Linked DNA regions of Oreochromis niloticus. The protein of the gene in region 1 interacts with the protein of each later gene in a pairwise test. Links are inferred from orthologs where the notes say so. Each region holds a gene or a part of one and is shown in the gene's direction. Other genes may lie near its edges.

Region 1 (4,948 bases):
AAGGCAGGGAAGTTTGCTAGGAAGAAGGTGGAGATTGGTTTCACCTGCACTACAGTGTTTAGATAAGCTCCAGCAGCAGGGAGCTGAGGAATCAGCAGAAATGAAACAGGATGCAGGTTCAACTCAGCACTTCAAAGAGAACTTAAGAGTTCAAGAAACTTAAAATCTTTGATTCACTGCAGCAATACACACTGTATAATTTAGCATAAGGCGAATTTCATGAGCATTCCTGACTCTTAGTACATCCTGCCATATCATACTGTTTGCTGGAGTCCTGCTGAGAAGAGAAGAGAAGAGAAGAGAAGACTGCACTCATTTAGTTCAGAAACTATTACTCATCCTCTAATTTTACAGTGATTGTGAAAATATAAGAGTGGCAAATTTATATCTCCAAATCCAAGAACATTTAAGTTCATGTCAACAACAACAACAACAACACATTTGCAGGATTGTGAGCTCCATGTGAACTGCAACTGAAATAAATTGCACTTGGAGGTAAAAATGGACTAAACAAATGCTGCTGATATTGTGAACATGAGAAAAGATTGAACTTTACTTATCACAATCTTAAAATCGTTAAATAGATTTACTCCTGGTTGGTTGACCCAACTGCAACTGTTTTGCTACACTTCAGTCATTTATTTTCTTTTAAGTAACCCATCTGTTTGTTCCCTTCATGCACTCAAAATAAGCTTCAGATGAGGGGAAAAAAAACCCTGACAGGTACTGCATAATAATATGTTACAAGCGAGTACTGTTTGAGAATATTCTTAATAAACAAGGTAAATGATTCAGCTCTGCCTGCGTCACTGAGTGACTCATAAAGAATTGTCACTTCATGTCTGCAGTGAGTCTGGAGCACCTGTGGCTCACAGTATCTGTGTTTAAAGAGCAGCCTGAGGTAGGAAAAGCAAAGAAGGAAGCCACACGTGAAAACACAAAGGATAACAACTGTTTTGCGCAAAGCTGGAATCACACGCGTGGATTTAAAAGCAGCTTTTCTAAAGGAAAGCTTAGATAATTATAAGAAAGAAAGTCATATACAGCTAGCAAATATTCCAATTTCTGTCTTGTAGAAAGGTTTAAATGCTTACTCTACAGTACCTGGCAACATTATAAAAACCTGAGACATGTTGTCATTTACTCAGATTATGGGCTTTCTGCTAAACTACAGAGCACAGTGTTTCTGTTTCAGTAAGTGGTCTGCAGAAAATCAATCATGTAGGTGTTTAAAATGCTTAGTGGGTTATTAAATCTTTGCCATGTTATAGAAAGGTCCTGTCTGAACTTGTAGTTTAAGGCACTGGTGGCATTTTGCATGACATTTTAGTTAATTAAAAATATTTTTGTTGTTAGCACTAGTCACTTTTGAAATGTTTCAGTTGCCTTTAACAAAAGTTCAAGGTTTCGGTTCCTCTGCCCACACTGTTTTAGAAGAAAATCCAGCTTCTGCTGAACTCCCAATACAGGTTTGGGCAGTTCTCTTATTTACCTTTTCTCTAACCACGCCTCTATTCTCTGCCCACTTCCTGATCACCTTTGCCTGTTTAGAGGTGAGCAGGTTCTGGGCTCACACAGGAGAAATCCTCTCCGCTTTGGACTCATTCCATATTTTATAAAGTCCAGCAGCAGGATAAAATTTCTCTCTTTCTACTTGAAGACTGTCAGTCGGTCTCCGGTTTGCTTGAGTTGGACAAAGTCCTCTTTACGGAGTCATTTAACTCTCCTGTCCTTCCCCTCCACCTCCTCTCTGAATGGTTTAAAGTTACACTGCCTGCCAGGCTTTACCTGTTCAGGTGAACTGCACTGCCGAAAGTGAATGTTGTTTATGAAGCCATGTAAGTATAGTTTCCTATTTTACATTTTATTCGAAGCGTGTCTGTTATTTATCTTAACTGCTTCACTAAAATACACAGAACATCGTGCCAGCAGTTATTGCTGCTCCAGTGTTTGCATGGAAAAATTTGCATTAAATTTGTATGTTTGAGTTTACATGCGAGTGTAGCGTATGTCGATTTTCTCTATTCTCTCTATGTGCGCCGGTGTTAAGTACAGTCTGTTCTGACCCACTCAGCCATTCAGATACAAGTGACGCTTCATGGGGTTTCACATCTGGCTTCAGCTGTTTTCCCAGATTGAGGTGTCAGGTCTGGCTCAGACTCAATGTTCAGATTGCTATGAACTCAGAGACAGGCCAGGATAGACAAACATACACACGAGCCTAATGCAGAGATTAGTAAAAGGGCAGAAATTATACTAATATTTGATTTGCACATCCCGTGTTTATTCTAAAAGGAACAAAATGTGCTGAAGACATCAAAAATATTATGCTGTGTTACATTTGGTGTGCAGTTAAATACTTGATAGATAGCTGGCTGATTGTTGCTGTTTTTTTCCATTGTTTATCGGTGTGTGATTGCAAAACAGATGTTTGCATGAAGAGAAAAAATGGCTTGTTGGAATTTTTCTGTTTCATGGACATGTCTGAACACAACTGCCTATGTTTGGTCTATGCTCTACAACACATAACTTTTGTGCCTGAGTCCAGCCTGCCTTGTGCTATGTTACGCTTAGAGTCCTTGATTGTTGACCTGTCAGCAGGTTATCTGGTACTATTTAAATATTTTTATGATATGATGACTAACCCATTTGTTGATGAGCAACTTATTGTTTCCACTCTCTGAGTGAGTTTTCCCCTAACACGAGTCACAGATCAGTTTATTATCTTCACGGTCTTGAAACTACACCTGTAACAGGTGTCTTCCTTGTCAATTACAGTAACACGGTGCTTTGATTTGACAGACAGATCATTATGTTGCAGCATGAACTAAACCTTGCGTTGCAGACACTCATACTTTGTCTGATTTCTCAGGCTTTGACTTTTACTCTGAGGGTGTGTTTTGTTTGGTCGATACAAATATGGTTTGATGTCTGTGACTAAAAATGAGGAGTGGATTTGTACATAGCAACAAGCTAGCTCAGTGTGGACAATGAGAATGTTGATACAGAAAGTACCTTATTAATGGCTTATTCTTCACAATCATTTGTTAAGAAAAGAAGCTGCCTTGGCATGGCCTTGTCTCTTTATTAATTCATCAAGTCCTTTTAGATCACAGGAGAGAAACCTGACAGTGAATAAACAATGGTAGTTAAAGAAAATGTGCAATCTGTATGAAAGAAGGCACAGGCTATGTTAAATAAACAGCACTCTTTGCACTCAGTTGCATAAGGCCTCGACAACCAACAACTGGCATAACTATAGTTCAAAGATGAAAATAAAGACTACCCTGAGTGTTGTATTTACCATGTAAACATTTTTTTTTACTTTGTAGTCCAAACTGAAAGCCTTGAGCCTGACAGCCCCACCTTTCTCATTCTCTTTGGATACTAGATGGCCGGTGTAGTCAATAATTAAACGTCAACAATATGTAGTCAAGGTTCAGTCAATTAGCTGTCGTGAATGATTTTGTTGTGAGGAAAGAGCAGCAGTCCCACAGGACTGTTGTGACAAAGTGAACTTATCACTTCAGAGATTAGGAATGATCCAGAGTGAGCCAATGCTCCTCAGGCATGGGTGTGTCCACTGAATATGCCTGCATGAAAAAAAAAGGTGTGCAGAAGCATGAAATGTCTGCATGTAGACACATGTAACAGCACTGAGAATATCCCTGCTATTGTGCCATGTTGTATAGATGCTATTTATGGATGTCAGGCTCAACTTCTCCACTGAAAAATTCTTGAGAAAAAATAACTACACCCAATGGAAGACATCATCAATCTGTTGGAATAACCAAACATAAGATAATCTTTGATTGTAAGTTAGAAGAAATGCAATGATCCCAGTGAGAAATTGTTTTAAGAGTTCAAAAATTCCCAGCACAATGACAAACAGCACAAACAGGAATTATATATCTTGATTGACGGTGTCTCTTTTGTCCTGTCTCCATCCCCTCACCTCCACCCGGTCACGGCAGATGGCTGCCCCTCCCTGAGCCTGTTGCTTCTGGAGATTTCTTTCTGTTAAAATGTAATTTTTCCTTCCCACTCGCACCACATGTTTGATCATAGGTGGTCGTCTGATTGTTGTGGTTTTCTCACTATTATTGTAGTATTTTTACTTTACAATGTAAAGTTCCATAAGGCAGCTGTTGTGATTTGACTTGACTGAACAGAACGGATTTCCAGAGAAAGGAAGGGCCTCCCATTAGTTGCGTTGTCTTTCCTTTCTCTGGAATATCTTGCGTATGTTGGGAGATGTTCTTATCCGCAGGAGTCGCATGTAGCTCCTAGTGCTACCTGTTTCTCATGTGGCCCCTTGTGCAATTAAGTTTCCCAGGGGGCCACATGAGAAACTTGGCCTGTTGTTAAGGGCTGCATCAATAGGTTTAACTCATTTCTACTCAATATCCATTTTATCTCTTCATAAATTTCTTCTGGACATTACAATTTGTGAAATTTTAAACACTTTTTATATTTTATACAAAGTGACAAAGTGCATGTATTGACTTCTTTGGTCAATAATTTAAGTTTAATAATTTAATCCTGGTTGTAATAGACCTTGTACCCTCTTAGATTCACATTAAGGAGAAGATAGGATACAAACAGACATATATACATAATTACATTTTAAGTTTATTAAGGGGTCAATATTGGTTTCTAAAGCCAAAAAACTACATTTCCTTGTGTTGTCATTTGAGATTCTCAGTTTCAGCACTTCAAAGAGGCTGAAATATTTGTTTATTAGTTTGTATAAGAAAAAAAAACATCAATGTTCATTTGATGAACCAGAAGTTGGAGCTCTTCTTCTTGTTTGGAATGTTATAAAATCATTATATGAGGTTCTGTAGTGGTCTAATATATTTGAATTTGCTTTTTGATCCAGCACCCCCCGTGCTACTGAACTCTAGGGTGTGCACGCCAGATTTCATTTTTATTTCTCGGTGCTCTT
Region 2 (4,948 bases), on another chromosome or scaffold:
AACATAAACTTCCTACAACACAAATGGGCAAAATTGACATTCCCTGACATCCTTTATTTGTGATGAACACATAAATACATAAAAAAGTTGACAATGCTGATGCTCAAGTGTATTTATGGCTTTATGTCACAGTAAACCAGACTGACTCAAAACTTCACCAAATGCCAACATAATACTGGTGGGTTTTAAAACATGGACCCATTCTTATCTTCTAGATCTTCCCAAACTAATGGGGTTTAACATAATTTAGTAATATGTGCATCATGTTTTAATTTCGTGTGGCTCTATTTACTTTATCCACGTCAGCATGCCTCCCTTAGAGAAAGTGCAGCCCATCCCTGCACAGGACTTGTACCAAAGACCTCTAGCACAGCCTTTAAAATATATTTCACAATAAAGCTCGTTGTCACCTTCTTGTCTGTCACTGTCCAGTGGCCGTCTTCACTTTGTTTGAAAGTGCAGTGCAGTCTGGAGATCATCAGGGGACAGGCTGGAGACAGTAGTTGGTAAGTTACATCCACACCACGTCCAATGGTGATCTGCACAGCCAAAAATAAACACGTTAGTTAGCTCCACTCTGCATCTCTCCAGTTCTATAAAAAACGGACAGGGACACTCTTCAGCTTAAAACAATTCTAAATTATTAACCATAAATTGAGGGTAATGTTCCCCCTACATGTAAACTGGAATCTGCCGTGAACCTGAGCAAGCTTCATGTTAGTATAAATATAGCACGTTAGCTAACATTAGCAAGCTGCACCTCTGTGTTTTCGAACAAGCGAAGCCAGTCAGAGTTTCTCCCGACTCTCATCAGACAAAAAACCTCCGAGTCCGGACATTCATCGTCTTCAACCGCACAGCAATCCGCTGCCGTCTCTTTATCCATCTTATCTCATTCTATCAGCGGCCAAGTCGTCCGAAAGGACACCACTAACTGCGTTGTTTCAGCTCCTCCGCCACATCCCGACATACTGGGAGAAACCGGAAGACATTTCATTTTCTTTCAAAATAAAGGCCACAGATGTGCTTCAACGCTTATCTTTGGACAGCCCATGAATCACTTGGATCCCTCTAAAATCATTTAGTTTTTTTATTAATTCAAAATTTATTCAGCTTTTGCAGACCCAAAGTAGAAATATTACGGTGTCCATGAACATATTACAGTAGGGACAAAACAAGACGTAGAGTTTTATGTTTCGTCACTCATTCAAGTAACTTCTTCAGTTCACACAATGCATTATGCGAATATACTGTTTATAGAGTTGCTAATAAGGTCTGGAATTTAATTGCCTGCATGACTGAGCAACCATCAAGACAAATAAATAAATGAAATAACACTTTTAAATTTTACCCTGAACCAGCTGCTTAAAGTAAATACACCCATTTAGTTATATTAACACTGAAATACTCTTTTTTTTTTTTTACCCTCTCCACTTCATTTTCACCTCAGGAAAAAAAAACAAATCTTTTACAATTGAAGGTCAAGAATTATAATAATTTATAATTATAATAAAAAGTAATCATGTGGACCCTGTTAGTGTTGTAATAACACATGTTTAACTTCAAACCTTTTAATTATTCCTACATATAATAAGTTTGTGTTTGTTAGTTTGCATTTTGTATTGCCTCAAGACACCGTAGACGTCTATAATTTCTTTTGTTTTATCTCTTTTGGTAAGCACATTGAGTATAAGTGTAAGGAATGGTGCTATATAAATAAAACTGACACTGACACTGATATTACACAGTCACAGTCATATTGTATTTTATTATAAATATTATTTGTTTTTTCGTTAGAGCTTGTGTTTACTGTTATTTACCATTCAAAAGCAGTGTAGTGAAAGATACTTATACCTAAAAAAAAAAAAGAAGAAAAAAGTGGAGAATACAACAACAACAACAAAAACCCAAACAGCCAAACATGAACATTGTTACTTTGCAGTATTTTAACCGTAGTACTGCTTCATAACTGTTGCTGGTGTATACAGTTGTTAAAAATCCCTGCACCTTTAAATAAAATAGCTCTTCTTTCTCCCCGCAGCTCTCAAACCTCTAACGCGCCGCGGTGCTCTTCGTCCATTCGGGCGACCCCGAGTCCCGAAACGCGCGCACCCCGAGCTCCAGGCGGGACTTCCTTTCTCCTGCGGATGCGCTGATATTAGGGTGAGCAGGCAGAAAGGGCTTGGTCGGGGTGTCACCGGTCTATCCGCGCGCCTCTGCACAGCAGATGACCTGGCCGACGACTCCGCTGCCGCTGAAGCCCCGTAGATGAATCTCCTCCTCGGCTATGCTGCCCTGAGAGCGCCGCGAGTATCCGCCCCGCCAACATGTCTGATGTCAACAAGACTATTCAGAAATGGCACGCCAGTTTTAAGAAAGGCACAGACTTTGACTCGTGGGGACAATTAGTGGAGGCTATAGATGAGTACCAAATGTAAGTTGCATTCAACATGTGTGTCCTGTGTGTCCACAGCGCTGGTTTAACCCGAACGCAGTCCGGGCGCTGTGCTTCTTCTTTTTTTTATTCTTTTCCTTTCTCTGGGTCGCCTGTCCCTAAAATCTGCAGGGAAACATGTAGGAGACAGTAGGTGCAAGAAGTTAGCCCGTGTGCTGTCAGTCAGCTCTCGGAGCAGTAAATAAACCCTACCCATCCATGACGTGATGTGGCAGTTGTTGCAGTGGGGAGCAGATGTGTTGCCTGATGCATCCTAGCTCCGTCCACAGCAGCACTTTGGAGTTTAAGGGAGAGTCCGTCCATGTAGCCTGTCATGGAAAATCGGTCGGAGCTGCGAGCAGTCTGTTTCATTATGTGTCATGCAATGCAGAAACGGGCCAGTATTCCTCAGAGTGTTGGGAAACAGTCAGCCACACCCTCTCATTGTTATGGGTGGGTTTCATCTGCTGAGTGAGGAATGGTTTCTGCTTCTCAGACCAGATCTTTGTCTTTGCAATTTCCTTAAAATGTGCCCAGCTTCTCTCCCAGTTAATAGTTTATTTAAAACTGCACTAACAATACAAAAATCCAGATCCATGCAGCAGCTTCTACTGTCCGCAGGGGGGCGCACAGACACACACCTTACCTTATAGGAGTCTTGCAGGGTCTTGCAGTGAATCATTAACGCGTCTGTGTTTCATGTGGGTTCGTGTAGTTTGGCAAGACAACTGCAAAAAGAAGTCCAGTCAACAAATTCATCAGACTTCACCGAAGAGCAGAAGGTAATCATTACATCCGCCTGCAGCTTCTGCACCGGAGTGTCTGTCACTTTACTTAAACTAACAAGTGTTTTTTTTTTTCTTTTAAAGAAAACTCTGGCAAAGATTGCAACATGTCTGGAGATGAGAAGTGCCAGTTTGCAGGTTTGTATAGGAGTCTGCATGATTAGTAGCTACAGAAAGGAGGCAATGTCCAGGTTTTCAGAGATGCTGAGGTCATCATTATTATATAAAAGTAAAATTTGAGCATCAGCAGTTTTACTTATGCATATAACGCTTTTGAAAGTGGTCTTGAGCAATAGTTCTCCAGGCTTTCTGAAGGTCTTTCAAAGTTTGTCTTTGGACATTGGCCAATGGTCCTTGTACCTGACCATTTCCAAAGGGAAGTTTTTCCTTGTTAAGTCACTTAACACTAACCTGTGACTCATTCAAGCATAAAAAGGCACCTAATTCAAGGGACAAAACGGTCTTGTATTTACACATATCAGGCAACTTAGCAAAGAAACAATTTAAAATGTTATCTTTAGACACTTTGAGTTTTAAAAGGCATAAAATTGTGTTTGTTGGACTGATTCCCAAAGAGCTATTAACTGAAAAAGTGTCCTTAAAAAATAAAATATGGAAAAGTGTCAAGTATAGAAGAAAAGAAGAAGTGGCAGGCCTGAAATACAAAACAGTGCTTCAAAGCCTTAAGAAACAGGAAAAAATCCAGCAAAAACCTGACACAGGACCTGAGAGATCCATCTGACCCTTCAGCTGAGCCTTGTACTGTTCAACAAAGCTTCATCAGAAATGGTCTCAGTGGAAGGGTGGCTGTCAGGAAGGCGTTCTTAAGGAAAGGAAACGGGGAGAAAAGGCGAAGGGATGCCAACTTAAACAAGAACTGGACTGAAAATCAGTGCCAAAAGGTCTTATGGAGTGATGAATCCAAGTTTGACATTTTTGGTTCAAATCGTCATCGGTAAGTATAGAAGGGGTCAGGAGAGAGGTGTAGCGGTGGGTGTCTACACCCATCTGTAAAACCTTGTAATGATTTGGGGCTGCGTTTCTGCCAGTGTGTGTTAGGGATCTTGTTAAAATCGATGGAATAAGAACACAGAAAAGTACAATCAGATTCTGGTCCGTCCAGAAAGTGTTTGATAATGGCTTTATGTTTCTGCCCAAACACACTGCCAATGCAGGAAAAGTATTCCTGAATACAGAAACACACAAAGAGTCACCGTCAGTCATGGATTGACCTCCCCTGAGCCTGAAGCTCAACATTAATGTGAGATAAGTGTGAGATCGTCTCACATTGAACAGAAGACGACCAACTTCCAAGAAAGAGCTGTAAATGTCATTCAAGAAGCCTGGAGAGCTATTTCTGAAGACTGCCTAAAGAAACCATAAGAAAGTGATCATAAATCTTGACTTTCAAGCTCGTTAGAGTTGTTTTTGCCTTGTATGCTGTATGTTTAAACATTTTTCTCTTTCCCATTATGAATAAATTAGGGATGGCTCGAGACTTTTGCACAGTGCTATAAAAAAAATACATTCACTTCCTGGGGAAAAACAAATACTGAACATATCCTTTGTCTGGGTTTCTTCAGTGCACTCAGTCAAAGGAAGAGTTCAAGTTAGAAGACCTGAAGAAACTGGAAACCAGTAAGTGTATGACTGGGGTTTTTCCTGGCTCGAAATGGGCCTCTAAGGGGCGACTGCAGAAAAACATGATTGGTGTGTGTATAGTAAAGAT

The links. The genes of interacting proteins can lie anywhere in the genome.
Region 2: the proteins of lnx1 (region 1) and aida interact in binary tests that used the Homo sapiens proteins (3 or more experiments, as listed by UniProt). The link is inferred for Oreochromis niloticus from reciprocal best matches to the Homo sapiens genes LNX1 and AIDA.

Annotation. Positions count from the first base shown.
Region 1 is NC_031986.2:37,504,370-37,509,317, reverse strand, and holds the start of lnx1 (E3 ubiquitin-protein ligase LNX), read left to right. Parts: upstream 1-1,539; 5' UTR 1,540-1,838; intron 1,839-4,948.
Region 2 is NC_031980.2:14,133,871-14,138,818, reverse strand, and holds the start of aida (axin interactor, dorsalization-associated protein), read left to right. Parts: upstream 1-1,973; 5' UTR 1,974-2,327; coding exon 2,328-2,434; intron 2,435-3,149; coding exon 3,150-3,216; intron 3,217-3,303; coding exon 3,304-3,357; intron 3,358-4,802; coding exon 4,803-4,857; intron 4,858-4,948. Other genes in the region: E3 ubiquitin-protein ligase rnf8, read right to left, coding at 411-539, 746-886. UniProt on the Homo sapiens protein: Acts as a ventralizing factor during embryogenesis. Inhibits axin-mediated JNK activation by binding axin and disrupting axin homodimerization. This in turn antagonizes a Wnt/beta-catenin-independent dorsalization pathway activated by AXIN/JNK-signaling.